2 linked regions of the Nothobranchius furzeri genome follow. The protein of the gene in region 1 purifies or fractionates together with the protein of each later gene. This does not show direct contact. Links are inferred from orthologs where the notes say so. Each region holds a gene or a part of one and is shown in the gene's direction. Other genes may lie near its edges.

Region 1 (4,401 bases):
TAGGGTGAACCACAGCACTGAGACGGCCCTTCTGAAGATTAGAACAATTTATGATGCCCAGAGGGCAACAGTGTTGGTTCTGCAGGATCTAAGCGCGCCGTTGATACAGTAGACCACACTATTCTTTTAACCCGTTTAAAACAGATCGGCCTCTCTGGTGTTGTTCACAGTTGGTTCACTTCCTACCTCACAGACAGGACTTTTATGGTGAGTTTGGATAGCTGTTCCTCTGGGGTCCACAGCATCACATGTGGTGTGCCTCAGGGTTCAATTCTAGGCCCCACAATGCGGGTCGGAACAACCAAAACAAACATGGCTTCAATAGAAGAGATCAGTTTGCTCATTTTAATTCATTTTGAGATGAAAAAAGACAACAGCTGTATTGTAGACTGTGTGAAAGACCTCTGAACCAGTGACTGGAGAGGGTGTCTCGCTCATTTTGTCAACTCGGGCTACTGGTTGCTCCAATATTGCAGCGTGCACACACATCACATTAATTTTGGAGGATGCGCACAAACGACTGTTCAAATCAATGCAAGTTACGCGATGCAAACAAAACATGCATACGCATTGTTAAAAAGCACGCATTTCCCAGGCTTAAGAGGACACAGCATTTCTTTTGTTTTACTCTAATATCAGGTAAAGAAGGCTAGCAGCTAACGTTGAGCTAAAAGTGCTAATACTGAATTAGATAAAATTGTCAACTCAAGCAAAATCTCAAGCTACTTTTTCAATTACCACATGTATTTATGTACATGTCAACTTACTGTGTATGGCTCGTCTTCGTTTGTCATCCAGAATCTTCTGGCGCTGATCTGTGGCCGGTGCTGATCCTTTGTTCAATATTACTTAATTTTTACTAAGAATTATGTTGTACAAACATGATACATATGTATATTGTAGAACGTGAAAATTAATTTGTTACAACAATATAGTAATCATGTTAAAAATTTATATTTCTATCATTTAATTTTTTTAGCCTGACAACTTTGTGAAGCTGTAGAAAGCCACTGATGTCATAGTTTTATGTAGTTTAAAACAGAAATCTTTGAGTCCCGTGTCACTTAAAAGCATTGTATGTGGGTTTAAGTTGTTAGGAAATTATTATTATATTATTAATATTAATATTATTATTATTCGTGATTTTGTTGCTAAAATTTTCTACTTCAAACCAACAAAACAAACTAAAATAAATTAAGTTGTTTGACCGGAACGCTGCACCTGTCCATTTTTACCGCCAGGAGGCACCATTTGTTTATGAAAACTCTGGTTTCCAAGCGACATCAAAACATTAAAAAGCTGACTGTTGCTGGCTTTCTCTTTAGCTCGATAGAGGGAATTTCATTTTCTTGGATAGTCAATCTGATATTAATTGAGTTTTAAAACAAGCAGTTGTGTTTTAATTTTAGGCAGCGGAACTGTTTATTTAGTTTCAATCGGAATCAGAAAATCAGGGAACACCGGAAACACACTTTTGAACGGAGAGTTCGCGAGCTCGACATGTTCAAGAACACATTTCAAAGTGGATTTCTGTCCATCCTTTATAGTATCGGCAGCAAACCGCTTCAAATATGGGACAAGAAGGTAAAAATCGATGTAGAGTCACAAATGTGACATCAGGAGTAGCTAGTTAGCCGCTCGTGTTTAAGCTAACAGCCGTTGTGTGTGCATTTTTAGCGCTCGGCTCAGCTGTTACGCTCAGTTTTCCCCCAAATTCAGTTTGAAATATTTGGTTCTGTGATGATTTTTTACATCCACAGGTCAGGAATGGCCACATAAAGAGGGTGACTGATAACGACATACACTCCTATGTGTTGGAAATCGAAGGAGCAAACGTGAGGTGTGTGATCCCGGATTGGCTCTGTTCACCTCAGATGTTTGTTGTCCTCAGAGAGGACATCAGTAGGTTAAATGTACACTTGATTAATTTATTTAGTGCAGCTGTTTATATTTAGCTTTGGCGTGTATTCAAAGTGCCAACTTTGACGAAGTCTGGGATGTTAGTTGGGATTTAAAGAACACAGGTTATTTTCCCCCAGTTATTGATCCATCTTAGCGTTTTTATTCATTTATTTTTGGTAGGAAGTTCATCAGGGGTCAAATCTGAGCCTATCAAATCAGTTCCCTCCATTTATTAAAAGGATACTTTGCAACTTGTTCATATTTTAATTATTTTCTTGATCCAGTATGTGCTAAAATGACCCTTTACAGGGTTAATAAAAAGTCACTCAGACCCCACCGACTCCTGTGGCCAGAATGTCACAAATGCAACTTTAGACCAGCTGGCCGCCATTTGTGACTTGAGGGACCACTAAAGCGTGTTTATTTTATAGGCCTATCGATATGGTTTTTTAAACGCCGATACCGATTTCTAAAGAATTTTGTTGCAGATGGCCGATTATTAAGGCAGATATTAATTATATATATATATATATATATATATATACACACACACAGGTGCTGGCCAGTAAATTAGAATATCATCAAAAGGTTGAAAATATTTCAGTAATTCCATTCAAAACGTGAAACTTGTACATTATATTCATGCAATGCACACAGACCAATGTATTTCCGATGTTTATTACGTTTAATTTTGATATTTATAGGTGACAACCAATGAAAACATCAAATCTGGTATCTCAGAAAATTAGAATATTCTAAAGGCCAATGAAAAAATGTTTGTTTCTCTAATGTTGGCCAACTGAAAAGAATGAACATGAAAAGAATGTGCATGTATAGCACTCAATACTTAGTCGGGGCTCCTTTTGCCTCAATAACTGCAGTAATGCGGCGTGGCATGGACTCGATCAGTCTGTGGCACTGCTCAGGTGTTATGAGAGCCCAGGTTGCTCTGATAGTAGTCTTCAGCTCCTCTGCATTGTTGGGTCTAGCGTATTGCATCCTCCGCTTCACAATACCCCATAGATTTTCTATGGGGTTAAGGTCAGGCGAGTTTGCGGGCCAATCAAGGACAGGGATACCATGGTCCTTGAACCAGGTGCTGGTGGTTTTGGCACTGTGTGCAGGTGCCAAGTCCTGTTGAAAGGTGAAGTCTGCATCCCCATAAAGTTGGTCAGCAGCAGGAAGCATGAAGTGCTCTAAAACTTCCTGGTAGACGGCTGCATTGACCCTGGACCTCAGGAAACAGAGTGGGCCAACACCGGCGGATGACATGGCACCCCACACCATCACTGACGGTGGAAACTTTACACTGGACCTCATGCAACGTGGATTCTGTGCTTCTCCGCTCTTCCTCCAGACTCTGGGTCCTTGATTTCCAAAGGAAATGCAGAACTTGCTTTCATCAGAAAACATAACTTTGGACCACTCAGCATCAGTCCAGTCCTTTTTGTCCTTGGCCCAGGCGAGACGCTTCTTGCGCTGTTTCTTGTTCAAGAGTGGCTTGACACACGGAATGCGACACCTGAATCCCATGTCTGTCATGAGTCTCCTCGTGGTGGTTCTTGAAGCGCTGACTCCAGCTGCAGTCCACTCTTTGTGGATCTCCCCCACATTTTTGAATGGGTTTGTCGTCACAATTCTCTGCAGGGTGCGGTTATCCCTAGAGCTTGTACACTTTTTTCTACCACATTTTTTCCGTCCCTTCGCCTGTCTGTTAATGTGCTTGGACACAGAGCTCTGCGAACAGCCAGCTTCTTTAGCAATCACCTTTTGTGTCTTGCCCTCCTTGTGCAAGGTGTCAATGATTGTCTTTTGGACAGCTGTTAAGTCAGAAGTCTTCCCCATGATTGTGGTGCCTTCAAAACAAGACTGAGGGACCTTTTAAAGGCCTTTGCAGGTGTTTTGAGTAAATCAGCTGATTAGAGTGGCAGCAGGTGTCTTCTATATTCAGCCTTTTCAGAATATTCTAATTTTTTGAGATACCAAATTTGGAGTTTTCATTAGTTGTCACTTATGAATATCAAATTTAAATGTAATGAACATTGGAAATACATTGGTCTGTGTGCATTGCATGAATATAATGTACAAGTTTCACGTTTTGAATGGAATTACTGAAATATTTTCAACCTTTTGATGATATTCTAATTTACTGGCCAGCACCTGTATATATATATATATATATATATATATATATATATATATATATATATGTGTGTGTGTATATATATGTGTGTGTGTGTATGTTTTAGCAGCACATCGATTGTGAAAGACAACTGAACACTCACTGTGTGCAATATAAATGAATTAAGTCAATAAATCTAATGTTTATTGAACTTCAAATATAAAACAAACTCAAATCATTTAAACAATTGGTGCGTTCGGGTCCTTTCTCCAGTTTAGTAGTGGTGGCAGTTGCCACAGGTGCCTGATTATTATTTTTTAATCGGCTTTTAAAAATAATTTTGGTCGATACAGAAAACTTTGAATATACCTGCCCGA
Region 2 (4,344 bases), on another chromosome or scaffold:
TTGTGCTTATTGTAAATTTTCCAGTCAGCTCTGCACAAGTGCTGCTTGGATTATAAGAGAATGTGTGTGAAAACAAAAAGTGAGAGTCGGCAACAGCAGAGACGTTTAATTTTCAAATGAATGTGGCAAATATGACCTTTGTCCCCAGAAAACAGAGGCAGACTAGAAACTAACACAGGCTTCCTGTCACCGTGCTGGACAGGAGGAAATGTAGGAAACAGAGTTTAAGCACACATGTATGTACAGATATGGTGAGTGCTAAATGCTCTTCTTACCTGCTGTGTACCACAGGAAGTCAGAACCCAGCCTGTAGATTAGAAGGTTTGCATTAGGTCAAGAGGTGCCTCTGAGTCCAAAATCCTTTTAGTATCATTTTAACCTTTTTTATTCCAGCTGTTGTAAGTGATGTATTTAGAGCTTCCTATGTTCACGTAATGAAGCTTATAAGTTATATTTGTATGTGTCAATATTTAAAACAGACAGAAGCTTAAAACTGCTCCATTTGCTGTTTTACTCTCTCCACACCCTGTTTTTGGTCTGATGGCAGATTCATCAGCTGTCTTACAGAGACATCTAGTGGCCACGACAACATATGGCACTCTCGGTGAAGCTTTGATCTTTGTTACAAAACGTTATTGTACAAAGATCATCAACAGCTCTGTTCATACATCTTAAAAACAAGTGAGTACATACATTAAAAGTAATATATCAAAACATGTGAACAAAATATCATGTTGCAGGTATGTGGACATAGATTCTATTCATATTGCACAGAATATTGTGATGATATGAGGGTTTGAAGTGTTACATCATTCAAATTCCGATGGTTTGAATGTTGACTGTGTTCATTTTTATAACCAAAACCTTTAAAGCGAAAATAAGCCTAAAAATGATCTGAATAATAACTTTAATCATGATCATGAGACAGAAAACACATAAAAATAGCCCATATATAGCCCCATTATAAGTTTATTGTTTTTTTTATGGGTCTGAATAATTTAGCGATTATTTTCAAGTCTGGAGTAAACTTGTTAACAACTAATGTCATTTGAATTATTACCGTATTACTAGTAAACTGGAAGTTATTTATCAGTGCTTGTGTAGTACTAGCATTTATACTCATACAATTAGTTAGCTTTCTCAGTTTAATATGGTGCACTGATCTCCACATAAGGCATTATTTATCTAACGCATCTTTTATTTTATATGTATATTTAAGTTAAACACTTTGCAGATTCATAGTTTTGTGTTTATCTACAGCGCCCCCGGTGGTCGTTGCTGGTACTGCGTATCTGCACACGGGGGAAAAGAGAGAGAGAGGGAAAGCGACAAGGAGGCGTGAGTTCGCTACGCTGCAACGTTAGCTCTTTGCTGACGAAACCCCGTTTATTTGTGTTGGTGGACAATAAAACAGGTACGAATAGAAATGCATTTGCTTTTTACAGTTGTCTGTGATATTTCGTTCGCGTGGCCAGGCCGTGAGTCACTGTGGTCCTGGCGTTTGTGCAGAGTGGATTAGCAGAGCTAGCGTTGATGCTAACGGGCCTGTATGCGCAATGAGCCTGGAGCCATGTGTTGGTTAATAAATGCCACGCACACTTTATAAACTACCATATTTAACATTATATAAGGCCGATAGTTGTACAGTTATTCCACAAATCAGACATTTGAATGATTAACTAGAAGTAGCTTGACAACGTAGATATTGGGTAATTAGCTATCATGCTAGCTCCTGAATGCCATTTGCATTTGCTAAACGACTTACATAATTTCACTTATTCAAATGTTATTAACTATGTATGCAGCTGTGGGATTAAGGTTATAATTAACAGGACATTTTTTGGAAACAAACTTCGTTTAGAAAAACAGCTACAGCTTAAAACAACCGTCTGCAAAGATAAATCAGAGCTGTCAGCTGCTGGTACTAGTGACTAGTTCTGCATATTTAATAGATTTATTATTTTTGAACAGTGTTTGATAATTGAGCCTCGTTCTTAAATCGTTTAAACACGTGGAAAGATCCAAGTACATTGTAGATAACACAAGTAACACATTTGTTTATTAGTTCTTCATGTTTTTGTTCTTAAATACCGTTTTGTGTCCTAGTCTCAGATCTGACCTGCAAACTCAAATTGGCTCTAGAATATGAAGAATCCTGGAAGAGAAAAAGTTATTCTAGAAAGCAGAAATGTAATTTTTTTTTATTACAAACCTACAAGAAACAGCATTTTTATATCCAATAAATGTTTGTTTTCTGTCAGTGCGTTCTAAAATGTTTATTAGAAATACTAAAAATGTTATTTTTCTCAGCAGTTTATAATTTGATCATTATCTGCATTAAAACTAGGGATGCACTGATTTGAAAATGTGGGGTGATATCGATATCCGATATTATCACTGTTATACCCGATAACCAATATTTATTGATATTACATTAATATAAGAAGGAATGTAAGGAACTATCAATACATTGAAATTTTGTGTAATGATACTGAATCAATATTTAAAAGTAGTGTATCAAATTTTTATTGAGAATTTTCAATGAAACTTATACTATAGCTCATTTGTGTGGTGCTAGTCAAACCCCAACTGCTAGGTGGCAGCAGTTTTTACCGCCTTCACTCTGACAGAGCAACAAAATCTTGCAATAACAGTTGACACACTTGGAGGCATCTAGTCTGAGTTTTTCAGTTAAGTTCAGTCAATAAATGACAAGTATTCATTTCAGGGCAGCAGTAGCTCAGGAGGTAGAGCGGGTTGCCTCATGATCGGAGGGTCAGCTCTTGCAGGGGTATTCTGCTGTTGTGTCCTTGGGCAAGACACTTCACCCAACTTGCCTGTGTTGGTGGTGGTCGGAGGGGCAGACGGCGCCAAATGGAAGCCTCGCCTCTGTCAGACCTCCCCAGGGTGGCTGTGGCTACAAAGTAGCTTACCATCATTGGCAGTGTGTGAATGTGAGAGTGCATGCAAGCATCTTTGAGTGTCCTAAACAAGCGCTATATAAGTTTGATGTATTATTATTATTATTATTTGGCATTTGATATTTAAAGATATTGTATTGTAATATAATATGTTATTATTATTATAAACCAGGGATCAAAGTTCTCCGTCGTGGCGACGGAAATCCGTCAGTTGGAATAATCAGAAAAAAGTTCTGTCAAAGTCTTCTCGTGCTCACTTGGGTTTTGTAGTGTCGCTCTCTCTCTCTCTCTCTAGCGCTCTCCTCTTGCTAATTGAAACGCACACCGGTGTTGTTGAAACGCGTTTCTCCACCGTTCTGCGCTGCCTAAGCTGCAAAAACGCGCACGCTCATTGCTCGCTCCCTCGGTGCGCACAAACACAAACTGCACTCGCACCAGGCGCTGGGATTCTAACAGAGCCAACATGATGAGCAGAACCAGGACCCAAATTCCCGGTGGGCCGATCTGTGGTCTGTGTTTTTAGTCGTCTTTGTTTTTTCGGGCCTGTGTTCAGTCATGACACTCTGCTGATCACCTGCTGATGAGAGGATTTCTCTTGTCAGTGGAACAGGCGAGCTGCTGAACAAGCGTTAGTTCCTAGAAACACTTTCTATGCCCAGACTGTAGTGACCTGTTTTTATAATTTTATAATTAATATTAAGTGAATGCACTAAACCCACAAATGATAGAAGATAAGATTAAATATTATTAATCATATTACTATCAAATGTAAATAAGTATAACAGATAACTATTTCATTTCTAAGGTTTGGATGTCTGTGAACATTACAGAATATTCAGACTGGTGTAAAGAACATATTATTAATAACAGGTCATGATCTAAAGCTGGTCTGAGGTATAAAACTCTGCCCTGGGCCTAAAGCCCTGCAACTCACACGTTCAACATGGAGCTTTGCCAGCTGATTGGTTCTTCTGGTGTGCAGTTCTGGTACTGAGCAGCATGATGCATCAGCGGATTTCACTGTAGTCTGTGTTCATAATGGATTTAGAAAGAACAGGAAAACATTGTTAACTCAAATATATCATTATAATGAACATGTATAGACACTTTATCATACATACCTAACAGCCTGTAACTCTACTTTTCCCCCAAAAATGCACCAGACTGATGCGTTTAAATATAAAATGTCCAATAATTTTTTTTTCCGGGGGGGGGGGGGGGGGGGGGGGGGGCGTGCCGCAGGACTCCCCTAGAGTACTTTAATACTTGTCATCTTTTTTACCTCGGAGAAATCTCAACACCCACACTTTTAAACACTGTGTATGTGAACGGGCTATTCCAAAATTTTCAGAAACAAGAATACTGACCTTAAAATCAATCAAAACCTGAATAGTGGCCACGTGTAAACAATGTGAGCCCCCCT

What was found.
Region 2: the proteins of cfap20 (region 1) and clasrp purify together in Homo sapiens (affinity purification with mass spectrometry; 3 studies listed by BioGRID and IntAct, counting the BioPlex papers as one, with this or other methods). This does not show direct contact. The link is inferred for Nothobranchius furzeri from reciprocal best matches to the Homo sapiens genes CFAP20 and CLASRP.

What each region holds. Positions count from the first base shown.
Region 1 is NC_091759.1:5,022,804-5,027,204, reverse strand, and holds the start of cfap20 (cilia- and flagella-associated protein 20), read left to right. Parts: upstream 1-1,419; 5' UTR 1,420-1,500; coding exon 1,501-1,584; intron 1,585-1,760; coding exon 1,761-1,840; intron 1,841-4,401. UniProt on the Homo sapiens protein: Cilium- and flagellum-specific protein that plays a role in axonemal structure organization and motility. Microtubule inner protein (MIP) part of the dynein-decorated doublet microtubules (DMTs) in cilia axoneme, which is required for motile cilia beating.
Region 2 is NC_091753.1:42,038,321-42,042,664, reverse strand, and holds the start of clasrp (CLK4-associating serine/arginine rich protein), read left to right. Parts: upstream 1-1,262; 5' UTR 1,263-1,414; intron 1,415-4,344. UniProt on the Homo sapiens protein: Probably functions as an alternative splicing regulator. May regulate the mRNA splicing of genes such as CLK1. May act by regulating members of the CLK kinase family.